Linked DNA regions of Anolis sagrei. The protein of the gene in region 2 purifies or fractionates together with the protein of the main gene of each other region. This does not show direct contact. Links are inferred from orthologs where the notes say so. Each region holds a gene or a part of one and is shown on either strand. Other genes may lie near its edges.

The links.
Region 1: the proteins of OGT (region 2) and SETD1A purify together in Homo sapiens (affinity purification with mass spectrometry; 4 studies listed by BioGRID and IntAct, with this or other methods). This does not show direct contact. The link is inferred for Anolis sagrei from reciprocal best matches to the Homo sapiens genes OGT and SETD1A.
Region 3: the proteins of OGT (region 2) and CXXC1 purify together in Homo sapiens (affinity purification with mass spectrometry; 3 studies listed by BioGRID and IntAct, with this or other methods). This does not show direct contact. The link is inferred for Anolis sagrei from reciprocal best matches to the Homo sapiens genes OGT and CXXC1.

What each region holds. Positions count from the first base shown.
Region 1 is NC_090026.1:14,486,428-14,496,803, reverse strand, and holds the start of SETD1A (histone-lysine N-methyltransferase SETD1A), read right to left. Parts: upstream 4,544-10,376; 5' UTR 4,401-4,543; intron 4,388-4,400; exon of another isoform or gene 4,253-4,387; intron 1-4,252. UniProt on the Homo sapiens protein: Histone methyltransferase that catalyzes methyl group transfer from S-adenosyl-L-methionine to the epsilon-amino group of 'Lys-4' of histone H3 (H3K4) via a non-processive mechanism.
Region 2 is NC_090030.1:21,091,459-21,102,300, forward strand, and holds the start of OGT (UDP-N-acetylglucosamine--peptide N-acetylglucosaminyltransferase 110 kDa subunit), read right to left. Parts: upstream 4,868-10,842; 5' UTR 4,771-4,867; coding exon 4,734-4,770; intron 1-4,733. Other genes in the region: TAF1 (transcription initiation factor TFIID subunit 1), read right to left, coding at 10,585-10,819. UniProt on the Homo sapiens protein: Catalyzes the transfer of a single N-acetylglucosamine from UDP-GlcNAc to a serine or threonine residue in cytoplasmic and nuclear proteins resulting in their modification with a beta-linked N-acetylglucosamine (O-GlcNAc).
Region 3 is NC_090022.1:193,732,571-193,743,419, forward strand, and holds the start of CXXC1 (CXXC-type zinc finger protein 1), read left to right. Parts: upstream 1-6,837; 5' UTR 6,838-7,062; coding exon 7,063-7,065; intron 7,066-9,284; coding exon 9,285-9,400; intron 9,401-10,849. Other genes in the region: synaptonemal complex central element protein 1-like, read left to right, coding at 676-739. UniProt on the Homo sapiens protein: Transcriptional activator that exhibits a unique DNA binding specificity for CpG unmethylated motifs with a preference for CpGG.

The DNA.
Region 1 (10,376 bases), on a different chromosome or scaffold from region 2:
TTATATGTATGTTACTTATTGTTATTATGTTTATGTTTATTTATATCCTGCTTTAGAGGTAGGACTGAGAGAAGGGCCTCTCCTGAAGATCTCAGGGTCCAGGCAAGTTCGTACAAGGGGGTATGGTCAGTCAAATAGCCTTGGTCTGAGTGGTCTAGGGCTTTAAAGGTCAGAACCAGCACTTTGAATTGTGCCTGGAAACACACTGACATCCAGTGAACCGGCTGCAAGGGGGGGAGGGGGTTGCCCACTCCCTGTAGCCAGCTCCAGTGAGCTACCTAGCTGCAGTTCTTTGGACCAAATGAAGTGTTCAAACACTCTTCAAAGGCAGCCCCACATAGAGAGTGTTACAGTAATCCAGATGGGATGTAACTAAGGCATGGATCACTGTGGCCAGATCTGGCTTCTGTGAAGTTGGTGTACAAGTTTTAATTGAGCAAAGGCCCTTCTGGCTACCGCAGATACCTGGGCCTCCAAGTTCAACGCTTAGTCCTAGAGGATCCCCAAATGATTCAGCTTCTCCCCCTTTCCACACATGCTATACCACATCCCCTTCCCTTAATTTTACCCTGCTGCCTCTAGCTCTCTACCTCCCTATCTATCCACACACATACAGTATTCCCAGGATTCTCTGTCACCTCCCCATCTCCACTACGACACTATATCACATTCTCCTTCTCATGAAATATTTTCCCCACTTGTACCCCACACCTATCTCTATATCTAAAGTACTTTTAGGGTTCCTCCCTCTGCCAATACCAAATCCCTTTCCTATGAAATATTTCTCTCAATTGTATCTTGCACTTATATTGCCTCTGCCACCTCTTGACACAAAATATACATCCTCTTTCCATGAAATATTTTCCCAATTGAACCCTTCACCTACCCCTATCCTCTCTTTCTCTATACACACACACATATTCCCACAGTCCTCCCTTGATAATCACACTATCCCACATCCTCTTCCTCATGAAATATTTTCCCCATTTGTGCCCTGCAAGTACCACTTTCCTAGAGAGAGAGAGAGAGAGAGAGAGAGAGAGAGAGAGAGATCATCATCAGCGATCCCTCGTGTTCAAGTATGATTGCCTTCCAAGTGTAGGATCTTGGTGGTGGATCTGTAGGTGACTATGTGTATATGTGTGTGTGTATATATATATACACATATACACACATACTATAGCAGTCTCGTCCCATAAAATATCTTAATCTTATTCTGCTTCTCCTCTACTCCATATACATCAGAACTCTCTCACCACCCCTCCACACTATACTACATCTCTCTCTCTCTCTCTCTCTATATATATATATAATGAAATATTTCCCCCACTTGTATCCCACACTAACCCATATCTTATAGAACAGACCTGCACAACCTGTGGCTCTCCAGGGATTTATGAATTCTTGACCACTGGGCAAGCTGGCTAGTGCTTCTGCGAGTTGGGAGTCTCAAACACCTGGAAGGCCCTAGTTTGGCCATGCCTGATATATATACACAGACACGCAATACCAGTCTCTTCCTATAAAATATATCTGTTAATCTTACTTTGCTTCTCCTCCACTCCATATATATCAGGACTTTCTCCTCACCACCTCTCCATGCTATACCACATTATCTCTCTTTCTATATATATAAAATGAAATATTCCCCCCTCTTGTATCCCACACTTACTAATACCTTATAGATCAGGCCTGCACAGCCTGTGGTTTGGGCCCTTGGTTGCTAGAATGCTTGACCATTGGGCAAGCTGGCTAGGCCTCCTGGGAGTTGGGGGCCCCAAACACAAAGAGGGCCACAAGTTGTACAGGCCTCACATCTACATCAGAGATGGACAAACTTGGACCCTTCCTTCAGGTATTTTGGACTCCAACTTCCACCATTCCTAACAGCCTCAGGACCTTTCCTTTCCCCCCTCAGGGACCTGAGGCTGTTGTGGGGGGGGGGGGGGGAGGAAGGGTCCTGAGGCTGTTAGGAATGGTGGGAGTCGGAGTCCAAAACACCTGGAGGGAGGCCCAAGTTTGCCCATGCAAGATAGATAGATATGCATACATATATATGGGGGGGGGGGTGTTGGAGTCCAAAACACCTGGAGGGAAGCCCAAATTTGCCCATGCAAGATATATAGATAAGCATACACACAAATATATATATTTGGGGGGGGGGGATGTTGGAGTCCAAAACACCTGGAGGGAAGCCCAAGTTTGCCCAAGTCAGATAGATATATAGATAGATATGCATACATATATAAGGGGGGTGGGGGTGGGAATCCTATCTTCTCCCTCCTATCTCTGGCTGTTAGGAATTGTGAGAGTTGAAGTCATCTGGAGGAAGGCCCAAGTTTGCCCATGCAGATAGTAAGAAAGATATAAATTCATATATACAGAGAGAGAGAGGTGGATCCTATCTTCTCCTTCCTCCCTCTGGCTGTTGGAGTCCAAAACTCCTGGAGGGAGGCCCATGTTTGCCGATGCCAGATAGATATATAGATATGCACACACACACATATATACAGAGAAAGAGAGAGAGAGGATCCTATCTTCTCCTTCTGGCTATTAGGAATAGTGGGAATTGGAGTCCAAAACATCTAGAGGGAGGCCCAAGTTTGCCCATGTCAGATAGATAGATATGCATACATATACAGAGAGAGAAAGAAGAGAGATAATCTTATCTTCTCCCTATGGCTCTTAGGAATAGTGGGAGTCCAAACCAACTGGAATCATAGAATCAAAGAGTTGGAAGAGACCTCATGGGCCATCCAGTCCAACCCCATTCTGCCAAGAAGCAGGAACATTGCATTCAAATCACCCCTTACAGATGGCCAGCCAACCTCTGTTTAAAAGCTTCCAAAGAATTGGAAGAGTTGGAGTCCAAAACACCTGGAGGGAGGCCCATGTTTACCCATGCCAGATAGACAGATATGCATACATATATACAGAGAGAGAAGGAAGAGAGAGAATCCTATCTTCTCCTTATGGCTGTTAAGAATAGTAGGAGTTGGGAGTCCAAAACACCTGGAGGGAGGCCCAAGTTTGCCCATGCCTGATAGATAGATATGCATACATATATACAGGGGGGGGGGGGGGGAGATCCTATCTTCTCCCTATGGCTGTTAGGAATGGTGGGAGTTGGAGTCCAAAACACCTGGAGGGAGGCCCAAGTTTGCCCATGCCTGATAGATAGATAGATATGCATACATATATACAGAGAGAGAAAGAAGAGAGAGAATCCTATCTTCTCCCAAGTATGCCCATGCCTGATAGATAGATATGCATACATATATACAGAGAGGGGGGGGGGGGATCCTATCTTATTCCTCTGGATCTTTGGAATAGTGGGAGTTGGAAGTCCAAAACACCTGGAGGGAGGCCCAAATTTGCCCATGCCTGATAGACAGATAGATAGATATACATACATATATACAGAGAGAGAAAGAAGAGAGAGAATCCTATCTTCTCCCAAGTATGCCCATGCCTGATAGATAGATATGCATACATATATACGGGGGGGGGGGGGGGAGATCCTATCTTATTCCTCTGGATATTAGGAATAGTGGGAGCTGGAGTCCAAAACACCTGGAGGGATGCCCAAGTTTGCCCATGCCTGATAAATAGATAGTTATGCATACATATATACAGAGAGAGAAAGAAGAGCGAGAATCCTATCTTCTCCCAAGTTTGCCCATGCCTGATAGATAGATAGATATGCATACATACATATATACAGAGAGAGAAAGAAGAGAGAGAATCCTATCTTCTCCCAAGTTTGCCCATGCCTGATAGATAGATGTGCATACATATATACGGGGGGGGGGGGGGGATCCTATCTTATTCCTCTGGATCTTTGGAATGGTGGGAGTTGGAGTCCAAAACACCTGGAGGGAGGCCCAAATTTACCCATGCCTGATAGATAGATAGACATACCGATATGCAGATACACACAGATTAAGACAGGATCCTATCTTCTCCTTCCCAGCCCTCCATCCTCCAAAATAAAACCAAAACAAAACAACACACACACACACATACACACAAAACCAGGCCCAGTGCCCGGCCCCGCCCACCAGGTGCACCCCCGCGCGCGCTCCCGCTCCCTCGCCCCCCCCCCCCCCACCCGTCATTGGCGCCTCGCGGAAGAGAGAGAGCGCGCGCCCCCTCCCCCCTCCCTTCACTCTCTCTCAGGAGCCAGGCGCGCGCACGCCCCCCTCCCCCTCCCCCTCCCTCCCTCCCTCTCGGCCCGGCCTGGCTCGCGCACCCTCCTGCCTTTCTCAGTCTCTTCTCTCCCACTCGCGGCCTTCTTCCCGCTCTCCGCCCATAGAGGACAAGCCGAGGTCTGAGGAAGAGCGAGCGAGAGAAGGTGGGGAGAAGGGAAAGAAGGGAAAAGGGTGACAAGCACCCGCTACCTCTTGCCACCGCCGCTGCCGACAGGGACCAGTGGGCGGGGCCAAAACCTCCGATTCGAGACTCTCGCCGGGTCTCGCGAGATCCTGCTTCCCCCTCTCCTTCGTCGTCGCCACCCTTGTTCTTCTCTATGGTGACGGTGTTTGGTTTGTTGTTCTCTCCTCCTTCCGTTTCCTCAACCGCACTTTCGCCACGCTGTACAGAACGAGTTAGACGAAGGAGGGAAAAATGAAAATGATTATTATAACTACACAACTATACTATTTTTTTAAAAGTCTCCCCGTGGTTCTACCACAGAATGTAAGATTTTTTTTTTCTTGTTTCCAGTCCTAGTGACGAATTGTTCGATTCCAAACAGCAGCCTAAATCTTACAAGAGGGAGGCTCAAATGTTCCGGAGCCGCACTTTCCGACTTAAAAGGCTCTGCTTTGAAAATGAATGTTACTTTCGTCACACTGTAGAGAACGAGTTGGATAAAGGGGGAAAAATGACCCGTTATTAGAACTACACAAATATATGATTTTAAAAAAGTCTCCGTGTGATTCCATAGAATGCAAGAATCTCCTTTATTTTTTTCTCCTAGTGACGAATCTTTCGATTCCAAACAGCAGCCTAAATCTGACAAGAGCAAGGCTCAAAGGGAAAAGAAGGAAACTGGTCGGCCGTTCCGTATCTGCACTTTCCGACTTAAAAGGCTCTGCTTTGAAAATGAAAATTACTTTCGTCACACTGTAGAGAACGAATTAGATGAGGAGGAAAAGACTCATTATAACTACGTCAATATATGATTTTCTTTTTTAAAAAAGTCTCCGTGTGATTCCATAGAACGTAAGAATCTCCTTTTTTTGTTTTCTCCTAGAGACGAATCATTCGATTCTAAACAGCAGCCTAAATCTTACAAGAGCAAGGCGCAACGGGGGAAAAAGGAAACTGGTCGGCCGTTCCGGACTCGCACTTTCCGACTTAAAAGGCTCCGCTTTGAAAATGGAAGTTCTTGCTTGAGAAGGGGTTAAAGGATGTTGAGCGGAAAGAGCGGGGGTTCTTTGGGTATTTTTTTCCTCTCGTGACAAAATGGGAGCCTCGCGAATCTGCGCGTACGACATCAAAGCTAGCTCTAACAACGGGATGGCAGAAGGAAAAAATTGCGAAGCTTGCGCAGCGGGAGGATTGTGGTCCCTGGAGGTAGAAATGGCTTCGGGAAATGATGGAAAAGATTCAGGCCAAGTACAGAATAGAATTTTCCCATTCTGGGTTGATATTTGAGGGAAGGCCAAACTTTTCTATCCCACACATTATTAAAATCAACTTAAAATATCCAGTTAGGAAACTCAGCATAATAGGTTTTAGTATTTTTCACGGAGAAGCTCGGCATGTCATTGAACATCGATCAAACCAAAGTATTTATTTATCGTGTCAGGGGCAGCCAGACAATTGTATTACATTTCTAACAGAGCAAAGCAAACAATCAAAACACAAAATTTGCAAGCTTGGTAGTTGATCAAATGTCCTTTGACCAGTATCTGGCCACTTGGAGTGCTTCTGGTGTTGCCACAAGGAGGTCCTCCATTGTGCATATGGCAGGGCTCAGGTTGCATTGCAGCAGGTGGTCAGTGGTTTGTTCTTCTCCACACTCGCATGTCATGGATTCCACTTTATAGCCCCATTTCCTAAGGTTGGCTCTGCATCTCGTGGTGCCAGAGCGCAGTCTGTTCAGCGCCTTCCAAGTCGCCCAGACTTCTGTGTGCCCAGGAGGGAGTCTCTCATCTGGTATCACCCATGGATTGAGGTGCTGGGTTTGAGTCTGCCACTTTTGGACTCTCGCTTGCTGAGGTGTTCCAGCGAGTGTCTCTGTAGATCTAAGAAAACTATTTCTTGATTTAAGTCGTTGATGTGCTGGCTGATACCCAAACAAGGGATGAGTAGGAGATGTCACTACATTTGGTCCTTTCACTATTGGCTGCTACTTCCCGGCGGATGTCAGGTGGTGCAATACCGGCTAGACAGTGTAATTTCTCCAGTGGTGTAGGGCGCAGACACCCCGTGATAATGCAGCATGTCTCATTAAGAGCCACATCCACTGTTTTAGCATGGTGAGATGTGTTCCACACTGGGCATGCGTACTCAGCAGCAGAGTAGCATAGTGCAAGGGCAGATGTCTTCACTGTGTCTGGTTGTGATCCCCAGGTTGTGCCAGTCAGCTTTCGTATGAATATCAAGCAAAACGTGGGTGCTAGAAACAATATCATACGAAAACCAAAGTGCTCTTCCAGCAGTCACCAGCCAATCCCTCTCCAATGCCAGAAACACAGCTTAATGGTATAACATTCGAAAATGTTGATTATTTCCGCTACCTTGTCAGCCACCTCTTCACAGAAGTCAATATTGACACTGAAATACAACAACGCCTGAGCTCTGCAAGTGCAGCTTTTTTCCGAATGAAGCAGAGAGTGTTTGAGGACTGGGGCATAATAAATAATAATAATAATAATAATAAATCCGAGGGAGACCAAGGTGCTTGTTTATAAAGCTACTGTCCTCCCAACTCTGCTCTACGCCTGCGAGACGTGCACTGTCTACAGATGCCACATGCAACTCCTGAAACGATTCCATCAGCGCTGCCTCTGGAAAATCCTGCAAATTTCATGGGAAGACAAGCGAACAAATGTCAGCGTGCTGGAAGAAGCAGAGACCACCAGCATTGAAGCTATGGTCCTCCGCCATCAACTCTGCCGGACTGGTCACGTTGTCCGGATGCCTGACCACCGTCTCCCAAAGCAGTTGCTCTACTCCGAACTCAAGAATGGAAAACGGAAGGTTGGCGGACAGGAAAAGAGATTTAAAGATGGGCTCAAAGCCAACCTTTAAAACTCTGGCATTGACACTGAGAACTGGGAATCCTTGGCCCTTGAGCGCTCCAACTGGAGGTCAGCTGTGACCAGCAGTGCTGTAGAATTTGAAGAGGCACGAATGGAGGGTGAAAGAGAGAAATGTGCCAAGAGGAAGGCGCGTCAAGCCAACCCCAACCAAGACCGCCTTCCACCTGGAAACCAATGCCCTCACTGTGGGAGACAATGCAGATCAAAAATAGGGCTGCACAGTCACCTACGGATCCACCAGCACACTGATCATGGAAGACTATCCTACTCGGACAACGAGGAATCGCCTAAGAAAGTAAGTATAAAGCCTTTAACGGTTCTGGCCCAGTTTACCTGTCCACACGTATCTCCCGCTACGAAGCACCTAGGACCTTAAGATTGTTCGAGGGGGCCTGCTCTCTGTCCCCCCCATCATTACAATTGCGGTTGTGGGGGGAGGGGGAGAGACAGGGCCTTCTCTGTTGTGGCCCCTTGGCTATGGAATTCCCTCCTGAGTAAAATCAGACCTGCTCCTGACCTTCCGGAAAAAGGTGAAATCAAGGCTGTGGGATCAGCAGACTAGAGCAACATGATGGTAGAGCTATGGTTTAATGGACTCAATTGGACTGTGTGTAGGACGACGATTTAATTCTGCCGATTGTTCTAATGTTTCACTGTTTTTATGTTTTTATAATGTTTTATACTGTTTTGACCTAAGATGTATATTTATGCTTTTGTTGTCCCTCTGCGGAAGTCGAGATAGGATGGGATATAAATGTCAGAAATAAATAAATAAATAAATACATTAAAATAAAAAAAGCAGAAAGATATAAATACATTTAAATAAGCAGTTAAAGCATAGCACGTCGTCCTGAAATCATAATCCAAAAGCCATTCCAACCATCTTAACTTTGTAGCTGCATATTGCACTGTAACTACTCTCCAAATGCTTGGTTCCATATTATTATTATTATTATTATTATTATTATTATTATTATTATTATGTGGCACAGCCTGTTGATGAGGTCAAAATGAGAGTTATATAGAGTATGCAATTCGCTATTTTCAATCTATTTTTAAATTATTTTTGGTGATCCCACATTAATAGTTTTATGCAAGTCCAGCTTTGTTTTAATGCCCCGAGATTATAGGTACATCTCCTTTTCAGAACTGATGAAGTAGTGCTAATGCACTTGTATCTCTATAGGGTGTCACAAAAGTCTCCATACATAGGAAAAAATTACACTTTGTGTGTGTTAGTGTAGAAAGAGGTGGCCAAAATGTAGAGAATATTTTGTAAAAATGTGTAATGAATATTTTGTAAATAAAGGTACATTTAGCTCCAATTTCCCATTTTCCTTATGTATGGTGATTTTTTGGACAGCCTGTAGTGATGTTGAATCATTCCGAATGGGAAGTATGACACACACACAAACACTAAATTATAGTGAAGATCAGGATGGTTTGCAATAATGTCTCAAAACGCAAATGTGAATGTCTATTGCAAATATTACACCTTAGTTTTAAATATTACATATTTTAAAAGGTCCAGGGAGCTTTTTCGTTCAATTACTGCTGACATTACATTACATTACAAATATTTTTTCTAGCTTTGTTATTAGACAAAATTATGTGTTTTACAGACACTGACACATTCCCCAAACAGTAACATAGTTGAAATGAAAGATCTGAGAAAAAACCTACTATACTGTATTTCTCAATAAATCTCTTGCATTTTTGTTAGAGAAGGACAATATTTGTATTTGGTTGTTTTGTTACAAGGGTTAAACAGTTGTTGTGCTGGAAAATAATTTTATGGATATCATAGATTACTAAAACAACAAAATGAATGGATCTTTGAAAAAAAGATGTCCCTTTGGAGAGTGACCATATATTCCTTTCTTGTTGTTTCACCCACAGTGTTTTCCTCATATTGCATTTCCCTCACCTTATTGATGGCCTAACTCCACGGTTCCACCCCCTACGAGCTCCTCCCCCACAAATATACCTTTTTCATTGCTATCTCAGAGTTTTATCATTTTATGTCGTGCATTTGGCTTGCCCACTGTGTTTGATTTTCCATTGTTATTTTGCACTGTTTATTTTACCTGAATGTTTTATTTATTTTATTGCAATGTTATTTTTGTTGTTCTGTATTCTATTTTGCTGTAGTGTATCGCCGAGCTTGGCCTCATGTAAGCTGCTCCGAGTCCCCTTTGGGGAGATGGTGGCGGGGTATAAATAAAGATTATTATTATTATTATTATTATTATTATTACATTTTCACTAGAAGCTAAGATAGCTAAATTGAAGTGCTGTGGACACATCATGAGATGGCATACCTCAATGGAAAAAATGATAATTTTTAAAAATAATTTTTATTGAGTGCATAGTAACACAGTCTGTGAGTAGATAATTAACAACTTTGTATATATAATCAAGCTTGAGATGGAGTATGGCCCAGGAACGGCCAAGACAATGAAACGGATGAGGATTGGAATGAGAGGATATAGCTCTTTTTAAATTGTTATTGCACTGTCTTTTTTGTCTAAATGCACTTAATTGTTTTTGCTTTTGTATTATATTGATGGCATCGAATTGTGCTGATATGTAGACCGCCCTGAGTCGCCTGCGGGCTGATATGGGCGGGATATAAGTGATGTAAATAAATAAATAAATAAATAAATAAATAAATAAATACATTCTAAATATTACATTATTTCTATATTATCAATTCACCTTCTTTACAAAATTAATTCTTCTCATTACATTTTAATTTTTCTCTCCCCCCCCCCAATCCCTTCACCCTCTCTCCACCACATTTTCATCTATATCTTTATCTTTAACCATGAGCACAGTTTTCTCAATTTTGTACAATATACTGGCTTCACCATCTTCTATCAATTTCATATACTGTAAATCTCCCATTTACCTTTATTTTTCCTTGTTTTATCCTCATGTGTACCTTCTTGAATTACACATGCTATAATGTCCAGTTGTATTTGCTCAAATAAATAGTTATTCCAGTTTTCCAAATTCCATTTTTTCATCTCTCTATCCCCAGGCTATTACCGCCTTTCCTGTTAGGACCATTGCTTGATTCTTTCTACCCATTTTTTGGTT
Region 2 (10,842 bases):
GAAGAGACCTCAATGGAAATTCAGTCCAACTCTCTTCTGCCAGGTAGGAAGACACCAGCCAACCCCTCCCTGACAGATGGCCATCCAGCCTCCACTTAGTAACACTATGAAACAGGTTGTAAATGTCATTTTCTAAGTAGTTCTATCAGAGAAACATGGGAAAGTTTACTAAAATGAAAACTTTGATTTTGTGGAATTGACATCCTGCAGCACATTTTGCTATAGTTTTTCAATTAATCTCATTGAGTCTAAACCAATTCAACAGTCACAAAAAGGAAGATTCTGGAGTATAAAAACTACTTTTAAAGCAAGTACTGCATAATTAAAAGGAATACTTTCAATCCAGTACAGATTTTTTTCAAATTTTAGGACATGATGTTTGTTTGTTTTTTTGTCGTGTCAGGAGCGACCTGAGAAACTGCAAGTCGCTCCTGGTGTGAGAGAATGGCCGTCTGCAAGGATGTTGCCCAGGGGATGCCTGGATGATTTGATGTTTTTATCATCCTTGTGGGAGGCTTCTCTCATGTCCCCGCATGAGGAGCTGGAGCTGATAGAGGGAGCTCATCCGCCTCTCCCCGGCTTCGAACCTGCGACCTGTCGGTCTTCAGTTCTGCTGGCACAGGGGTTTAACCCACTGTGCCATCGGGGGCTCCAGTACATGATGTAATAATAATAGAACGACAGAATCCTAGACTTGGAAGAAACACCAAAGGCCATCCAGCCCAACTCCCTTCTGCTGTGCAGGAAGACACCATCCAAGCCCTCCCAACAGATGGCACCCAGCCTCTGCTTCAAACCCTCCAGAGAAAGATCAGTGCTGGATCTGACACAATTGCTAAATACCCTCACCTTTTAGATGTGAAAACTACCTCAGTTGATGGAAACAAGGCCAAGCTAGCAATGTGGGGAAGTTGCAAGAAGAAAACCCATAACACCTCCCTTCATTGTTGAGTCAGGCCAGGAATTGGACTGGGAACACAAAGGTTTTTTGTGCCCAGATCCAGCAAGTGACTGAGTTTTTTCAGACACATGCAATTACACTATGTAACATAATTTGGTTTTTTGTCCTGTTCCTGGTTTGAAAAGTGCTATTTCCTGTTTAATTGTGCAATACTTACTTTGAAAGTTGTTGTTCTATTCCACAAACTTCGTTTTTGTGGCTGACAAACTATGTTGCAATTGATTTGACTCTTTTATCATGTATTCCTTGAAAAACTAGAGCAAACTGTACTGCAGTTCGTCTCTCACAGCAACAAAGTTTTTGCACTTTGATCCACTTTTTCCATGCTTTTATGATAGAACCAATTACAAAATGACATTTATAACCCAGGGACAAAAAGTGTTACATAGGGTTACTGTTTACACATTTGTATTATTTTCCGTGTTAGCCGCTTTGTATCTCCTTTGAGAGAGAGAAAAGCAAGGTATAAATGCATGCACATAATATTTTACAAATTGCTTGGTTTAATTCGATTTTAGTGTTTCATAGTCTTGAATAATACTGTAAATGGTACAGCTTGTAGCACAGTTCTGTTCACCACTTTGAGTCTCTCGCAAGATTGAAAGAGACATATAAATAAAATGGTATTATTAATGTAAAGATAAAGGTTTCCCCTTGACATTAAGTCTAGTTATGTCCGATGCTGGGGGGTGGTGCTCATTTCAATTTCTAAGCCGAAGACCCAAACAAGAGCTGGCATTGTCCATAGGTGCCTCAAAGGTCATGTGGCTGGCATGACTGGATGGAGCGTTATTATTATATTACTATTATTAGTAGTAGAAAAGATTACAGATTAATAAGTGGAACTTCTTCCATTTCCAAAAGCCATATTTGGTAACCAGATCCTGCTAGCAGGCGTCACCTATGAATTATTAATAATATTATTATATTAAGTAATATTATGTCCTGCTTGTATTTCTCAAGAAGGTGAGATATAATAATGTATAATAAAAGGTACACCAGAAATAGCATTATTATCATTGTATGATAGTATTTTATCTTCACAAGAAGTGAATGAATTTATTTCCAACCTATTAACAGCAGTGAGACTGATAACTGCAAAAAAATGAGAAGATAAAAGCAAAATTCAACTGGAAGAATGGTATAGAGAAGTCTGGAACACAGTGAATAATTACTGTACTATTTTTGGATGATGGTTTGGTGTCAATTTAATATGTTTGTTTTAGTTAAAACCTTTCTATGGAACCAGGCCTTTTCTGAAATTCAACAACAGGCAATGGCCAGATAGATACAAGTACAGAAGAATCTCACTTATCCAACATAAACGGGCCGGCAGAATGTTGTATAAGTGAAAATGTTGGATAATAAGGAGGGCTTAAAGAAAAGCCTATTAAATGTAAAATTACATTATGATTATGTTACAATTTTACAAAGTATGCACCAATACATCATGTTTGACAACAAATCAACTGAAAAAGCAGTTCAATACACAGTAAAATTATGTAGTAATTACGGTATTTACAAATTTAGAATCAAACCAAACAAGGATTATTTATATCTCCAACAATGGACTGTGTTAGATAATAGAACGTTGGATAAACAAGACTCTACTGTAATTGTATATTTTTTGGAATGCTATTTTGGACCGGCAATATTTTAACATGGCCTAAAGGAAATGGAATTTTTGGGACCCTAGGATAAGTCTTTTTAATATTATCCTTAATGGCCTGAGAGTCAGGGAACTTTTAATGGTACGGTGGCATGTTATAATTTATTAATTTGTCAAATTTTGGCTTATGTAGTGTGTATCTTTGTTTTTGTTGACTCAAACAATGATGGATCTGGACCAAACTTGGCACGAATACTCCATATGTCCAAATATAAACACAGATAGCGTTTGGGGAAAATAGACCTTAACATTTGGGAGTTGTAGTTACTGGGATTTATAGTTCACCTACAATCAAGGAGCATTCTGAACCCCAACGACGACAGAATTGGGGCAAACTTCCCACACAAACCCTCATGACCAACAGAAAATACTGTGTATTATGGTGGTTTTTTGTGACCCTTCTGACACCCCCCTGGTGACCTCCCCCCCCCCCCGTCTTGACTTCCCACGTTGAGAAATGCTGCCTTAAGGCCACCCAGTCCAACTCCCTTCACCAGGGCAAGAAAACATAATCAAAGCCCTCCTAACAAAGGGCCATCTGGCCATTCACACACACAAATATATGTATACTAGCTGTCCCCTGCCACGCGTTGCTGTGGCCGAGTCTGGTGATCTGGAAAATAAAGTAATGAGAAAATGCTAGTTTTTAATATATGTAATTCCTTTATGCTTGTAGGTAAAGCAGTATTTCTTGCTGTTTCTTTGTCACTGTTGATGTGGAGATTGTTTGGTTTGCCTACTCGGAAACATATAATTGTCCTTCTTTAGGGGTCCCTTTCAAATCTAGGATATTATATCTGTGTGTGTGTGAATCATATACATCTATCTATATCTATGGCTGAATGGCTCTTTGTCAGGAGGGCTTTGATTATGTTTTCTTGCCCTGGTGAAGGGAGTTGGACTGGATGCCCTTAAGTATTTTCTGTTGGTCATGGGGCTTCTGTGTGGGAAGTTTGCCCCAATTCTCTCATTTGAGGGGATCAAAATGCTTTTTGATTGTAGGTGAACTATAAATCCCAGTAACTACAACTCCCAAATGTCAAGGTCTATTTCCCTCAAACTCAATCTGTGTTCATATTTGGGCATATGGAATATTTGTGCCAGGTTTGGTCCAGATCCATCATTGTTTGAGTCCACAGTGCTCTCTGGATGTAGGTGAACTACAACTCCCAAACCCATGGCCAATGCCCACCAAACCCTTCTAGTGTTTTCTGTTGGTCATGGGAGTCCTGTGTGCCAAGTTTGGTTCAATTCCATCATTGGTGGAGTTCAGAATGCTCTTTGATTGTAGGTGAACTATAAATCCCAGCAACTACAACTCCCAAATGACAAAATCATAATTTTTGAGTGATGGTCACTCCTTGTGTAGTGAGACGTTTTGTTGCCAAATTTGGTGTGATTTTGTTCATTGGTTCTTTTGTTTTTAAGGTACTCATTATGCACAGAGCATATATAGATAGATAGATGACAGATGCAGTATCAAAGGTTTGAAAGGGACCCCTAAAGAAGGACAATGATATGTTGCCTGTTCCAGGGTAGGCAAACCAGACAATCTCCACATCAACACTGACAAAGAAACAGAAAGAAATACTGTTTACTCACAAGCATGAAGACATTACATAGGTTAGAAAGTAACACTTTCTCATTATTTTCCAGATCACTATACTGGGCCACAGCAACGTGTGGCAGGGGACAGCTAGTATAATAATGTATTTATTGAAAAAAGCAAATACATCCTGGCAGCCTAAAGGACCTCCGACTTTAAATCCTCTTAAAGGAGTTCTATCCTTGTACTCAGCACAAGGCTGTGTTTTTTTAAACAGGGATTTTAAAGGGATTTATTCCAAAGGTCAGAGGCCAGAAAGCACGTGCTCGGCCTCCTTAGAAAACAACAGATCCCTTCTAAGAGAAACCTCAGCGATCAATTATTAATAGAGTGGAATATAAGGAGCAACCACACACACACAGACCCAGACACAATTGTTTCCGACCTCTCCCCCCTTTAGGCCCAATCCTCGGCGTGGCCTAGAAAACAGGCCCGAGACTGAGGAGGCCTCGTCCCAAGCGGGAGAAAATGAACAGGCAGGCCTTGACGAGGAATACCTGTGCTGTCGGCCACGTTCCCCACAGAGGCCGCCATGGCTTCCGCTGCTCCTCCTGCTTCGAGGCCGAAAGATTGTCTGACTGACTCACTCCGCGCCTCGCTTGCCCAAGCGGCGTCTCCTAAAATGGCGGCTGAGAGGCGGAGGGATGCAAGGCCTGGGCGGATCTTCTTCCAAGGAAAAGTAGTCCCTATTCCTAGTGCGGATGGGTGTGTTGTTTCCCTTTGTTTCCCTTCCTGACGTTACTCTGAGCCTTTCCTGCTCTGCTCTCTCTCGTATTCTCTCAACATTTCCAACAAGAAAAGGGACACGGAAAAAATATTGTCAAATCACCTCTCGGATCCACAGTATTCCTCCGCCAAACACTGCGACACATTGGCGCAGCGCGCATGCGTATTAGAGCTGCCTCTTCTCGTAAACGGAGGGGGTTCGAAGCGAGGAGTGACGGGAGAGAAAAGGGCGGGAGTTCGACTGCGGCAAGAGACCCGCAGCCCCGCCCCTTCTCCTCTCGCCACGGTGCAGTTTTCCCATAACCGGAAGTGACGGCATCTCAGGCGCCAGGGCACAAAATGGCGGATTCTACCTCAGTGATAACATTCCCAATGGGGGAAAATGTGGAAAACAACACACAAAAATAGCTATCTCGCACACAAAAATAAATAAGATAAAATAAATAAAGGACAACACTTAGAAAACAGGAAATCCTGACAGGAAACAACTAGGGCCAGCTAACACCTCCTAACAAAGGATTCCCCAGGGAGGAAGCTGCCAGGCCATTCAATGCTAATCAACATGGCTGTGCTGTCGCACGCTGGGCCTGTGCAAAAGGTCTGGAGAACAAGCCCTATGAGGAGCGGCTTAAGGAGCTGGGCATGTTTAGCCTGAAGAAGAGAAGGCTGAGAGGAGATATGATAGCCATGTATAAATATGTGAGAGGAAGCCACAGGGAGGAGGGAGCAAGCTTGTTTTCTGCTTCCCTGGAGCCTAGGACGCGGAACAATGGCTTCAAACTACAAGAGAGGAGATTCCATCTGAACACGAGGAAGAACTTCCTGACTGTGAGAGCCGTTCAGCAGTGGAACTCTCTGCCCCGGAGTGTGGTGGAGGCTCCTTCTTTGGAAGCTTTTTTTTTTTTTTGAAGTAAATTTTTATTAAAGTTTTCAGATAATATGGGGTTACAGGGAAAGAGTGGGAACAATATTCAAACAGAAAAAGAGTGAAAGAAATAAGGTAGACTTCTTTGGAAGCTTTTAAACAGAGGCTGGATGGCCATCTGTCAGGGGTGATTTGAATGCAATATTCCTGCTTCTTGGCAGAATGGGGTTGGACTGGATGGCCCATGAGGTCTCTTCCAACTCTTTGATTCTATGATTCTATAAGACTGTAGACAGGACACAAACTCTCTGTGCCCAACGGGATGCCGGGGCTGCCTCAGATTAAAGGCCCTTGGATTTCCTTAAAACAGAGTCTTTAGATTGCTTAAATGTTCAACAAAGTTCTTTATTATTAAAAACAAACAGGTACTTTAAGGCTTTCTTAATAGTCTATTGGATCTCTCTCAATCTTGTCCACAGGGAACAGGCACTATCTTCATAAACTGTAACTAATGGGGAAATCCTTAACTTCTAATCTGGACAGTCTGTCTTTGCCTCTGTTGGCGTGGAGCCCCTGCACCCGGTACCAACTGCTTCTGGCTTCCGCGAGCGACCCTTACCAAGCAGAGCTTTGTAGACTTCCAGGGGAAGGAGTTCAGGTTTCAGTGATGGCTGGCTGAAGTCCTTCAGCAAAGGAGCTGTAAGGCTGTATAACCCCAGTCAGGCGGTACACTGTATATCTCCCGGCCAAACCGTAGAAGACAAAGCTTTCTACAGGAGCTCTTGGTATTATGTCCTGCATGAAAGACTTCTCTGTGTGGACTGGACTCAAATTGGCTCCTATTCCCTCCAAAACCCAAAAAGGGGGGCGGGACTAGGGAACCTAACTATAATTGACAGGCAGCTTGCCCTATGATTGCAGCCAAAAGAAGCCTCTTATCTGCAGAGTCCCTGAAACTTAGGACTATAACAAACATTAAATGCAAACCAAACAAAATTGGAACTCCTGCCACAGTTGTACCTGCACAATAGCCAATTTAAACATTCACACTTGCCTCCAACAGACAATAATAATAATAATAATAATAATAATAATAATAATAATAATACTTTATTTATATACCACTCCATCTCCCCAAGGGGACTCAGAGCGGTTCCCAAGTAATATCACAAAACATCAGAGTAAAAACACTATAAGATTAACAAACAAAATATAAGCATAAAAATCGTCGCCATAACACACATATATAAAAAGTAATCCTGCCTGTTCAAGGCAATTAAAAATTTAAAAGGCCAGGCCAAGATTAGTGCAAGCCCCAAAATGCTAGGGCCCCCGAAAATTAAGTGCAATGCTATGGCAGGCAAAAATAATATGAGGTACGGGTCTGTGGCTGTTCATTCCAGGGCCAAATAGAGGAAAGAATCTGGGTAACTGGTAGGAAGAATAAGGCCGTATTAGACAATGTGTGGGGCTGAGTTAGAACTGGTCATTTTCAAAGGCTAGTTCTTTCTCCCACCCTGGACATTATTCCACATGTATATAAACTCCACTTGCCTCATTTCCAACAGACCTCACAACCTCTGAGGATGCCTGGCACAGATGTGGGTGAAATGTCAGGAGAGAATGCTTCTGGAGCGTAGCCATAAAGCCCGGAAAACTCTCAGAATCCCAATAAACTCTCCATTAGGGTTGCCTTTGGGCTCAATGCATTGAGGCAAGTGGGATGTCATCCAAGTCAGGCTAAATCTATCAAGTCTTCCTTCCCTCAAGACTCCTTTCCCCTGCTTTCCTTGTTGTTGTTGTTCATTCGTTCAGTCATTTCTGACTCTTCGTGACTTCATGGACCCGTCAGAGCTCCCTGTCGGTCGTCACCACCCCCAGCTCCTTCAAGGTCAATCCAGTCACTTCAAGGATGCCATCCATCCATCTTTCCCTTGGTCGGCCCCTCTTCCTTTTTCCTTCCATTTTCCCCAGCATCATCTTCTCTAAGCTTTCCTTTCTTCTCATGATGTGGCCAAAGTACTTCATCTTGGCCTCTACTATCCTTCCCTCCAATGAGCAGTTGGGCTTCATTTCCTGGAGTATGGACTGGTTGGATCTTCTTATGGTCCAAGTCACTCTCAGAACTTTCCTCCAACACCACAGTTCAAAAGCATCCCTCTTCCTTCGCTCAGCCTTCCCTAAGGTCCAGCTCTCACATCCGTAGGTGACTATGGGGAATACCATTGCTTTAACTATGCGGATCTTTGTTGCCAGTGTGATGTCTCTACTCCTCACCATTTTATCAAGACTGGTCATTGCTTTCCATACTTTGATATTAAACAAGGCTTTTTGAATTACATTTTCATTGCATTTCACATGCTTCAAAAGCCTATCCAGTAGATCCCAACATATTTATGAAAATCCTCTGTGGGCACAGTCTTGCACAGGAATGCCCCCAAAGTAGCCCCTTTCAGGTGGGGCCATGTGCCAAACAGGGATGGGGTGTTAGATCCCAACCTTATTTCCCATCTTCACCGCTATGATTCTGCACTGAAGGGGACAAGAGACAAGGGCCTGATTTAATTTGATTAATGAATAGCAATACTATGAAGAATGTTGTTGTTTATTCGTTCAGTCGTTCTTCGAGACCTCCTGGACCAGCCCAGGCCAGAGCTCCCTATCGGCAGTGGCCACCCTCAGCTCCTTCAAGGTCAAGCCAGTCACTTCAAGAATACCACAACTTAGACCCTGGGTGTCACAAACAGATGAAATCTGGAGAGATTCAAGAGGAAAGCAGCACACTCCCAGACTCCCAGGGCTTCCTCAATGTCTTCCAAAGGTCCTCCATGCCTCAACCATTGTTTGTTTGGGGCTTTGTCCTCCCCCCCCCCCCCCCGGTTGTTGTTGCTTATTCGTTCAGTCGCTTCTGACTCTTCATGACCTCCTGGACCAGCCCACGCCAGAGCTCTCTGTCAGCCGTCACCACCCCCAGCTCCTTCAGAGTCAAGCCAGTCACTTCAAGGATCCCATCCATCCCTCTTGCCCTTGGTCGGCCCCTCTTCCTTTTTCCTTCCATTTCCCCAAGCATCATTGTCTCCCCTAAGCTTTCCTGTCTTCTCATTATGTGGCCAAAGTACTTCATATTTGCCTCTAAGATCCTTCCATACAGAGAGCAGTCAGGCTTTATTTCCTGGAGGATGGACTGATTGGATCTTCTGGCGGCCCAAGGCACTCTCAGAACTTTCCTCCAGCACCACAGTTCAAAAACATCTATCTTCCTTCGCTCAGCCTTCCTTATGGTCCAGTTCTCACATCCATAAGTTGCTATGGGGATAACCATTGTGTTAACTATGCCTATCTTCATTGCCAGTGTGATGTCTCTACTCTTCACTCTTTTATTGAGATTGGTCATTGCTCTCCTCCCAAGAAGGAAATCTTCTGATTTCCTGGCTGCAGTCTGCATTTTATTTTATTTTATTTGCCATATTCTCAGCCCAAAGACGACGCAGGGCAGTTCACAGTTGGCAAAAAATAAAACAATCAACAAATAAAACAATCATAAAATACTGTTAAAACATTTAGCATAAAATATAAAAATATAAAAAAGACCATACAAAGCTGTAAAAACATTGTTGTGGGCATCTCCTTGTTAAAATCATTATTCAATTGCATCGTCAGGTCGTTCCATGATTTTGTGTAATTATTCTGAGTTAGCAAAGGCCTGCTAAAAAACCCCTGGTTTTAACCTTTCTTCGAAAAGTCAGGAGGGAGGGGACCAATCTTATATCCCTGGGAAGGGCATTCCACAGTCAAGGGGCCACCACTAAGAAGGCCCTGTCTCTCGTCCCCGCCAACGCATCTGCAGTAATCTTCATGGCTAGAAATACAAATTCTGTCACTGCATCCACGTTTTCTCCCTCTATTTGGCAGTTATCAATCAGTCTGGTTGCCATCATCTTGGAGTTTTTTTTGGGGTTTTTGGCGTTTAACTGCAATGTCCTCATTGTGAAAGAAACACAGTACAGATCCAGAATAAATCTCTATAGTCACTTATGGACCCAGCGCCAAGACTCTGCTCTTGGAAGACAATCAGACTCACAGGCCACAAGGGATTCCCTATAGCATAACAGTAGTAATATAAATCAGTATTGCAAATAACCACTAGGTCCCCTATACAAGAGTATCAATATAACCAGTAGATTCCCCATAAACCAGTATTGACAAGAAGATTCCCAGTTATGTTTCCCCCATTATCTGTCTATTTTCCTTCTGTATGGTGTCTCCAAAGGGCTGCAGAGCTCCAGCCTCCATGAAACAGAACAGATTATACAGGAAAAGGTTTATTCACGGTTTGGCAAGTCTTTTGACACATCGGGTCCTGAGCTGTAAATACAGCATCTGTGCTGAAATGTTGTTTGGGAGCGAAAGGATCTTGTGACCAAACAAGTATGACTCACATCAGCCCCTTAATACTCACACAGACTTACATCGACACATACACACACAAACGCGAATTTTCACAGAGACAAACTGACTCACATATCATTTGAAAATATACAATTTTACAGGTAAAAAATGGGACCGGGAGTAAGTCTGTTTTGTACAGGGGAGAAAAATAATAGAAAAGGTACAAATATGAGCAAGGACAAAACAGAAAACAAAACTAGGGGTGGAGCTCTGATTAGCAGCAGAAGATATCCAAATTTCAGTGGAGAAGAAACAGCAAAATGGTGTCGATCAGGCCTCAGAAAGGTGTTGTTCATGGTGAGATGGCTTTACTCATCTGAGTCCAGATCACTGTCTCCGCCAATGGATTGGAAGTCCTCACTGTCTTCCTCATCCTCTGAGAGAGGGACCTGACGCAAAACGCTGGGCCCACACCGCTGCTCTTCCTCCTCCTCCTCTTCTTCCTCATCCTCTTCCTCTTCCGAAATCTCATAGCCACCAATGCTGCTGAAACTAGTGTCCCGGGTATTCGACTTTGGGTCAGGCTCCTCATAGCTACCATAGCTAGGAAAGAAGGAGATCTCCGT
Region 3 (10,849 bases), on a different chromosome or scaffold from region 2:
AAAAACCCTTGACATTATGCTAAATGTCCTTTGACCAGAAGCTGGGAACTTGGGAGTGCACCTGGTGTTGCTGTGAGAAGGTCCTCCATTGTGCATGTGGCAGGGCTCAGGTTGCATTGTAGTAGGTGGTCTGTGGTTTGCTCTTCTCCACACCTGCATGTCATAGACTCGTTTGTAGCCCTATTTCTTAAGGTTAGCTCGGCATCTTATGGTGCCAGAATGCAGCTTGTTCAGCGCCTTTCAAGTCACCCAGTTTCTCATCCGGTATCAGCCATGGATTGAGCTTCCAGGTTTTCACTTGCCACGTTTGGACACTTGCTTGCTGAGGTTTTCCTGTGAATATCTTTCTAGACCTTAGAAAGCTGTTTCTTGATTGAAGGCATTGGTGTGCTGATATCTGAACAGAGGATGGGCTGGAGATGTCACTTGGTATAACTATGCCTATTTTGATGTATATCCATATTTATGCTACTTAAAATATTAATAAGATTTGATCACAGCTATCACCTTTTAAGCCATGTTGCTTCTCTCAAGCACTCTAATTGTATTATCTATTCCCATGGAAAGGTACAATAGATATATATTGGCCATTTTGATCAAAGGCCCCTAAATACTTCTAAAATACCTGACATTTTAAATTCTTTTGTTATTTCAATTGTTTCATCTCTTTTTCAGATTAAAAGCGGAACTGGAGGACATGCAGATGGAAATGGAGAATGTCAGCATTGATGAGAATTAACATGGTTTGTAGAGTGCTAAAATACAGGATGGGGTACAGGTTAAGTGGTTTTAATAATTCTCAAAAAGCTATCACATATCGCAGGAACATATGATCCTCTAGGTCAGGGGTGTCAGATTCATTTTAATCAAGGAGCACATCAGCCTTATAGTTGCCTCCAAAGATTACTAAATCCATGGATGGAGAATCTGTGGATACAGAAGGCTGACTATTTCTTTTTAAAATAGTGGATGGTGCGCTTTACTTTTAACCCAGTTTGGGTCCCCAGATGTTATTAAACAACAACTCCAGTCACTTTTATTTCCAGTCTGCGTGGCAGACTGGAACGCAGTCTTCCACGCAGACTGGAAATAATAGGAATTCCAGCCCAAAAGCATTTGTGGCTCTGAGATTGGGGAAAAATTAAAGGACATTTTAAATTCAGACACAATTTGGATACAACAAGCCTTGTATCCAAATTCAAACCCCACTGGAGTTTGTTCTGACTAAACAGAACAAACTCCAGCCTTTCAGATGTTAGTGCAGCACAACTATCAGCTCTAGTAGTGATCTCTAGTGAGGAACATATCTGGAGGGCAACATAACATGACATGGGCCTAGAGTTTGACACCTGTGCTCTACCTGTTGTTGGACTGCAACTTCCAGCATTCCAAGACAGCAAACCCAAAAATAAAGGATGATGGAAGCTGCATTCCACAATATCTGAAAGGACATTTCCCATTTCTGCTGTACAATAACCTAATATCAAGGTAAAATAGCAAACTTGGTATTATAGGGATGGTAAGAGATTACTGGAACAAGAGGAAAACACTGAACAACATGAGGTGGACTCTTGGGTTTCAAAGTTGGCTATGTAGCTATGCTAATTATTCCAAATCTGCTATGAAGTATAGGATATCTTCTTGCTCTGTCAAAGATTAGAGTAGAGGTGAGCAACCTTCAATAGGTTTAGACAGAAGCTCCCACTCCTCCATTCAAAAGAGGAATCTTACTGGAATAACAGAACTAACCTTTCATTTATTCTCTCTCCACATTGGCAGATTCATGTGAGCTGGAGAAGCCTTGCTTTGAAGAAAAATCCTTATCTCAATGGAATGGTTCATTTCGACCTTAACAAAGCATTCATGAAAAAATCCTGTTCCTTCTCCGGTTAATAGTAATTAATATACATATTCATTCAGATCTTAGCATTTGTTGTGCCAAAGACTTTACTATAAAATCATATTAAAAGGAACCACTGATCCAAAATTCAATTGTAACTTCATTAACAGAAAATCTTGATGTTTGCTTGTTACATCAGTTGAAGCATATTTTATTTCAGTTGTCTGTGTCCAAATAAACAGATTTAACAGGTTTTTGAAGGACCAATCAGGTTTTTCATTGGAGGAGATGATAATGGTACAGAAAAGTGAATGTGTTAAGTTATAGTTAGTATTATCTCTGTTGGGCATCAGTTAAACAGAAGGGGACTTCATACTAATTTTTTGGATTTGTAATTCTGCGCTCAAGAATTTTGTGAAACTTTCTAACAAAAACCTAGCACCTTGTTTATTTTTTAGTCCAATTTTTGGTTTACTAAATAATTTTAAGGAAGAGAATAGTTGGAGATTTGCTTTCTTCTTTAAGATTTCTTCTGTACAATCCTCTAACTTGAAAATGTGTCCGAGAGAGATAAGGATGGGGCAGAAGTACCCAACCACCAACAGCAAGGAGTTTTCCTGAGTGATTGGGAACCACAGAAGAAAGAAACCCATGGTCAGCAGGCACAGATCTGGTTACTGGTCTTTCCTGAAAGTGGGGACATTTTTTGAGATAAGTAATGGCAGGTGTTCATAGATAACAAGCTAATTTCTTTCTTCAGAAGCCCCAAGGATAAGGTATACTTGCCATGTCAGCCTGGAGCTCATGTAATTAATTCTCTCTCTGTACAACTTGTTTCCATGGGAGTGGGATTTTTTTTTTTTAAAAAAAAACTTCATCCTGGGCTTTTTGCTCAAAATTCTCTTCCTTTTTCTTACTTACTGTTGCCAAAATGTGTCCTAATAGTAATTGTTCTGTTGAATAAAAATCTAATTCTAAGGGCTCACAGACCCAAAGACATTTAAGATAACAGCAAACTCTTGCATTTGTTGCTCTTATATTTGTGAACTGCATTTGTGATTCTCCTGATGGGATCAGGTAGCTGCCTACAAGGCACTAACCCTGTCTGATGGGGGCTGGTACAGTTTAGGTGATGTGTCAAAACTTCGTTCCATAGAGGTTTTCCAAACTTGAAATGCAATTTCAACCCTGGTCCTTAATTTTGTTTCTAATGTTTGTTGTTATACATATTTTTAATTATTTCTAAATTTTAAGTTGACCTAGACCTAGAGGCTCTTTTTGAGCCAAATGGTGAATTAAACACAGTGTTATCAATTAATTATTTCTAGGTACTTCACTATTATATCAGGTGTTACCAGCCACAGTTTAGACAAACACTCTCAGCCTTTTGTATGCACAGGTTCAACCATCCACAGCTTGAAAAAATATTTTCAACTCATTAAACAACCCTATTTTACTATGCCATTTTAAAATAACAGGACTCCAGCATTCACAGATTTTGATATCCACAGGGACCAAACCAGCAGACATCAGGGGCCCACTGTACTTATAACATTGAACTCAACCATGTAGGCATTAAGCACAGATAACATCTCTTCCCATATGCATTTTCATTGCAACTCTTGCACTGGCTATAACGAAAAACCAGACAACTGCAAAATTTGAAACTGATGGCTTGAATGCCACATTTATTAATCAATTCTTGAGCTTATATGTAAGGTTCTCTAAAACTGCAAGACCATGTGTTTAAAAATAAACCATGCAAAAATCATTCAAATAAACAATGGTCCCCAGCCAAAGACATGTTCATATGCCTTCAAATACCTTAACTATGAAAAACTTCAATAACCCGCAACATCTCAACTACAAAAGATTCAATGTGAGATTAAAAACTGATCTAACTAAAATTTCCTTTTTGGCAGAATCGCTCCAGCAAGCATATTGTTCTATCTAGATAAATGTTATTTCAGGTCTTATCAATAGTGAACAGCTTAAAATAATAAAGACTGCAGCAAATGTTTTCTCTAAAAATAAACCCGCAGCATATTGAACGGCATTTAATGACTCTACAGAAATATTATGCAACTTCTCTTCCCTAGATACAGGATCAATCTGTGCTCAAAATATTTATCCATTTCAATTTTTGAAAATACTCTACAGAAATCTTGGGAGGGAAAAAATCAAATCTTCAGCTTGCAATTGGACAAAAATAAGCCAAAACTAAACTAACATCACTTCTGTAAGCCCCTGGCTATTGTGTTTCATTTGGAAGATCTGCGAGGTGTGCGAAGAATACATATTGGCAATCAAAAAAACCTTGACACTTTATGCCAGTTTTAAAACATCACACATTTGCTAACATATTTATCAGAAAAAATGAAAAGCTGAGGGTGAAATACCATATTTCATTGACTGAGATACAGCCCACTTTTGAAGTTCCAATTTAGGGGGAAAACCTATTTGAACTTTGATTTTTAGATTTTTTTTTTTATAGTCCTCACCCCAACTTTTCTTGTTTCTCTCTCTGGATTTCCTGGCCAGCCTAAAGCCTCCTCAACCTGTACCTGATGCTGTTATCAGCTGGTGCATAGTTTCTCATCTCTGGGCTGCCACTTTTTGAACCTTATCACGCTACAGCAGTGGTTCTCGACCTGTGGGACCCCAGGTATTTTAGTCTTCAACTCCCAGAAATCCTAACAGCTGGTAAACTGGGATTTCTGGGAGTTGTAGGTCAGAACACGTGGGGATCCACAGGTTGAGAACCACTGTGCTAGAGAATGGATCCATTTTAAACCAGTGGTTCTCACCCTGTGGGTCCCCACGTGTTTTGGCCTTCAAATCCCAGAAATCCTAACAGCTGATAAAATGGATGGAATTTCTGGGAGTTGTAGGCCAAAACACCTGGGGACCCACAGGTTGAGAACCACTGCTTTACATCCTGTGGATGCCTCCCGCAGAATTCTGGGGTTTGTAGTTTAATGAGGTCCAGGACCTGCCTGGCTGAGCATTTTAAAGGCCCTTTCTCTAAACTACAAATGCCAGAATTCTGCAGGAGGCAGACACAAGATTTAAATGGATAGGTGCTCTAGGTTGATGAAATCCTTAATTACTGCTGTCACTCTAGTATGGTCAGTTTTTTAATAAGGGAGATTGGAGCAGCAGCTGAGATGGGGTCTTTTGCTTGCTTCGCGAAAGCATTTTTCACTGGCTTAGAGTGGCTAGAAGACCTGGACCCAGAATCTGGCTTCTCTCTCTCTCTCTCTTTCTTTGTGTGGCTTTGCCCATTGGGAGTGGAAGTGGCAGACCCAAGTGGCAGACCCAAAGAGAGGAGGAAGACTGGAATAAGGAAGCCATGAGTGTGAGGCAACAATGGAAAGGAGGAGCAATGGAGAGCTGCTACTTCACACTCCGGGTGCACAGGACTTCGTCTCATCTCTTTTCTGCTGTTAGAATGTTTATTTATTTACTTACTGTATTTGTATACCGCCTTTCTCAGCCTGCAGGCGACTAAAGGCAGTCAACAGGGCAAAATTCAATGCTTACAATGTCTTGTTGTTGTTCATTCGTTCAGTCGTCTCCGACTCTTTGTGACCTCATGGACCAGCCCACGCCAGAGCTCCCTGTTGGCTATCACCCCCCCCCCCCCAGCTCCTTCAAGGTCAGTCCAGTCACTTCAAGGATGCCATCCATCCATCTTGCCCTTGGTCGGCCCCTCTTCCTTTTACCTTCCACTTTCCCCAGCATCATTGTCTTCTCTAAGCTTTACTGTCTCCTCATGATGTTCCCGAAGTACTTCAACTTTGTCTCTAGTATCCTTCCCTCCAATGAGCAGCCGGGCTTTATTTCCTGGAGGATGGACTGGTTGGATCCCCCAGCAGTCCAAGGCACTCCCAGAACTCCCCTCCAACACCACAGGTCAAAAGCATCTATCTTCCTTCGCTCAGCCTTCCCCAATGTCTTAAGTACAATTAAAAACATAAATAACATATAACAAAAACTAAACAAATCAATAAAATATAAGTTTATAGTGTCTCCTTGTTAAAAACATTGTACGGACTCTTTGTCTAATCATTCCATTTTCACATGTCAGTTATTCTGCATTTGCAAATGCTTGTTCAAAAAGCCACGTCTTGACTTTTTTCCGGTATGTAAAAATGGAGGTGGCCGATCTAATACCTGTAGGGAGGGCATTCCACAGCCAAGGGGCCACCACCGAGAAGGCCCTGTCTCTCGTCTCTGCCAAACATACTTGAGGCGGTAATATTTGCTGGATGGCTGAATAATGCAGTTTTCCACATTTAAAAGAAAAGAGAGAGAGAGAGAGAGAGAAAAGGGGGGGGGGGTTAGCAGCAACTTTGAGTCTATGGTTGCTCCTACACTATTAAACGAATGCAGTTTTGACACTGCTTTAACTGCTATGGTTTAAACTTGGGATTTCCAGCTTGATAAGACACCAGCACTCTTTGCCAAGATAAGGCAAAAGACCTTATGAGACCAGAAATCCCAGCATTTGAAGCATGGCAGGTAAAGTGGTGTGAAACTGCTTTCAATCTACAGTGCAGATGCAACCATAAAAAGGGCTGCTAAATGACACCCCCTTAATATTTTTATTTATTAAACTGCATTATTCGAGCGATCCAAACATAAAGGACAGCTTGACATTGAACAAGACAAGCGCTGACAATTACCAGTCAAACCATTCTTAACACCACTAATATCCCAATGCTCCTCCCGTCGTTGCAGTGACTGAGCCACGCTCATGTGCCTTTTTTTCTATATTTCTTCTATCGGCTCCGGAAGCGGAAGCGTCGAGAAGTCACGCTAGCTTCGAAGCAGGACGTTCTAGGAAGTCAAAACAAACAAAAAAATCCCAATGGAACGGCGGCTCCCTTCGCACGCGCCTCCTCGGACTCCTCCTTCAGCGAAAGTCCATTGGCGAGAAGGCGCCAGGCCGCCATTTTTAGCGTAGTATCTCCGAGGCGTCTAGAACTTCAACTCCCAGAATTCCTTATCGTTGGCCGAAGCATCCGAGACTTCTGGGAGTTGAAGTCCAATTGGAGTTTGGGCCTCATTTGGCATGGATAGTCTTTTCTTGTTGTGGCTAATACCGGAAACGGAAGTAGTCGCGGGCAGGCGCTCTGGCCTACTATTGCCGAGCGTCTTGTCGTCTTGTTTCAGAACAAGGGAACTGGCCGAGAGAGAAAGGAAGAGAGCGGGAGATCATGGTGAGGAGGAGGAGGAGCCGGCGGCATTGGGGTCCGCCATTCCCTCAGCCCGGCCTTCCGTTGCTGAGGGCGGGAAGGAGGGAAGCGTCTGTGGGGGGCTCTGGGTTTCCTTCCCAGCCTAGGGAGCCAGTGCTCATGGGCTCCACCCTGGGAAGGGCACTGACCACTAGCAGGGGCCTGGCTCTGTCTTTACCCAGAATGGCTAGCAAGGACTCTCCTGGGTGAAGACAGAGCCAGGCCCCTGCTGGTGGTCAGTGCTCTTCCAAGGGTGCATCCACACTATAGAGTTAATGCAGTTTGACACCGCTTTGACGGCCATGGCTCCGTGCTATGGAATCTGTCGTTTCGTAAGACCCTTGGCCTTCTCTGCCTAAAAGTGCTGGTGACCCCTCGAACTACAACTCCTGTGATTCCATAGCGCTGAACCTTGAAAATGGTGTCAAACTGTATTCATTCCACAGAGTAGATGCACCTCCTCTCTGTCAAAGAGTTTTGCAGAGCCGTTGACAGGTCTTTGGCTTTTGGGAGGCTCCTTTGTGCAGTGATTCTTAGTCTCTTGAGTGCAGCTTGCTCCATGGTAGGTATGCACAAGTCTGCAGCTTTATTGTTGTTGTTGTTTTGTAGAAATCTGTCTGGAAGTATGGAGGTGAAGCAAATGTCACTGCAAAGATCGGCGGCTAGATTGTTAACTGGAGCAAGTTACAGAGAGCGGTCAACCCTCCTGTTTAAATATCTCCACTGGCTGCCGATAAGTTTCCAGTGCAGGTTATCATAGAATCATAGAGTTGGAAGAGACCTCATGGGCCATCCAGTCCAACCCCCTGCCAAGAAGCAGGAATATTGCATTCAAATCACCCCTGACAGATGGCCATCCAGCCTCTGTTTAAAAGCTTCCAAAGAAGGAGCCTCCACCACACTCCGGGACAGAGAGTTCCACTGCTGAACGGCTCTCACAGTCAGGAAATTCTTCCTCATGTTCAGATGGAATCTCCTCTCTTGTAGTTTGAAGCCATTGTTCCGCGTCCTAGTCTCCAAGGAAGCAGAAAACAAGCTTGCTCCCTCCTCCCTGTGGCTTCCTCTCACATATTTATACATGGCTATCATATCTCCTCTCAGCCTTCTCTTCTTCAGGCTAAACATGCCCAGCTCCTTAAGCCGCTCCTCATAGGGCTTGTTCTCCAGACCCTTGATCATTTTAGTCGCCCTTCTCTGGACACATTCCAGCTTGTCAATATCTCTCTTCAATTGTGGTGCCCAGAATTGGACACAATATTCCAGGTGTGGTCTAACCAAAGCAGAATAGAGGAGTAGCATTACTTCCCTGGACCTAGATACTATGCTCCTATTGATGCAGGCCAAAATCCCATTGGCTTTTTTTGCCGCCACTTCACATTGTTGGCTCATGTTTAACTTGTTGTCCACGAGGACTCCAAGATCTTTTTCACACATACTGCTCTCAAGCCAGGCATCCCCCATTCCGTATCTTTGCATTTCGTTTTTCCTGCCAAAGTGGAGTATCTTGCATTTGTCACTGTTGAACTTCATCACCTATAAAGCTCTAAACGGTTCAGTACCTGGCTATCTGTGTGACCGCCTCCTCCCTTACGAGCCCACGCGGTCCTTAAGATCATCCGGGGATGCCCTTCTCTCGTTCCCGCCCCCGTCTCAGGCACAGTTGGTGGGGACGAGAGAGAGGGCATTCTCGGTGGTGGCCCCCCGTCTCTGGAACTCCCCAGGGAGATTAGGCTGGCACCCTCCCTAGTCACATTCCATAAGGAATTAAAGACGTGGATGTTTCGCCATGCTTTCGATTGACGACTTCTATGACAAATGGCCTGTATCATGACTTGAATTGTCATTCAATCTGATGTCCTATATTGTATTAACTATTGTCTGTTTCCGTGATTTTTCCTATGCCGTTATACATTGTCATCTACCTTACTAAACCACTTTATCCTTTAACTAGCTCACGTAGTGGTTTTCCTCCCCCACTCCAAAATTAGTCTGCTGTTGTTGTTGCTAGCTATTTTTGTTATGTTGTTTTATGCTGTTTTAATTGTTATTGCTTTATTTTAATTGTATTCTGCCTGGGCTTGGGCCCCATGTAAGCCGCCCCGAGTCCCTTTGGAGACATGGAGGCAGAGTAGAAAAATTAAGTTTTTCTTCTTCTTAAATGTGTTTGCCATGATTCATTTTTTCTCTTCTTCTGTGCAACTCAGGATGAATTTTCTGACCCAGATCTAGCTGTTCTGGGCGAGGAGTCCAAATCAGAGAATGGAGAGAACGCTCCAGTTTACTGCATTTGCCGCAAACCAGATATCAATTGTTTCATGATGTGAGTATTTCTGAGGGAATTTTTAAAATGTCATCAGCAACTTGAGAAACTGCAAGTCACTTCTAGTGTGAGAGAATTGACTGTCTCTAAGGACATTGCCCAGGAGACGTCCAGATGTTTTACCATCTTGTGGGAGGCTTCTCTCATTTCCCCACATGGAGAGCTGGAGCTGACAGACGGGATCTCACCCTGTTCCCTGAATTCGAACCACCAACCTTTCGGTCACTGGCACAAGGGTTCAATACATTGTGCCACTGTGGCAACATTTCATTGGAATACAGTACATTCCCTGTATCCGGGGTGGGGTGGGCTGTGCTGCTGCATCTGCACAAGGCCTGGGCAAACTTCAGCCCTTCAGTGTTTTGGACTTCAACTCCCACAATTCCTAATAGCCAGTAAGCTGGCTGGGATTTCTGAGAGTTGGAAGTCCAAAGCACCTGGCAGAACGAAGTTTGCCCATGCCTGATTTACACTGCAGGGCAATAATATGATAGCTGGGTCCCTACGCTAGTTGCGCAATGCAGGTCAGAATTAATGAAGGGGACATGTGCATGAGACAGTGGAGCGAGTGAGAGATGCCGCTGCAACAGGATAACAGTGAAGTAATTTAACTCAGGAGGGACAGGATAAGGGTGAGGTAATGTAACAGTACTTCCCCTCTCCTTTTTATCCTTCCTTCCATTGATCGTCTTTTCCTGCTCCTTTTTATCCTTCCTTCCATTGCATCGACTCCGCTGCAGCTGCGTCTCTAACTTGGCGCACTCACTTGCGCACCTGTTCCCCTAATTTAGACCCACGTTGCGCAAGCAGCATAGTGTAGGGTCCTAGCTATCATACTATTGCTGCAGTTTGAATCCACTTTAAATGCTATGGCGTATTTCTGTGAATCCTGGTGGTTGTAGTTTCACAGTCTTTCTTTATCCCCCCCCCCCCCACTCCAATGCTGGTACTTCACCAAACTACAACTCCCAGTATTCCATAGCATTGAACCATGACAGATAAAGCGATGTCAGACTGCATCAGTTCTATAGGGTTGGTGCACTCCTATATGGGAACTCACAGATAATACTGAATCCTATTGAAATGAAGGGACTCTTTACTAAGAATACCCATACCCATACCAACTCTGTCACTCCTTCCCACCTGCTACTAAGGAGGCTGTCGAGGTCCTGAACCGGTGCCTGGCCGCTGTAACGGTCTGGATGAGGGCGAACAAACTGAAACTAAATCCAGACAAGACAGAGGTACTCCTGGTCAGTCGCAAGGCCGAACGGGATATAGGGTTACAGCCTGTGCTGGACGGGGTCGCACTCCCCTTGAAGGCGCAGGTTCGCAGCTTGGGTGTGACCCTGGACTCATCGTTGAGCCTGGACCCCCAGGTTTCAGCGGTGACCAGGGGAGCATTTGCACAGCTTAGGCTCGTGCGCCAGCTGCGCCCGTATCTCGGGA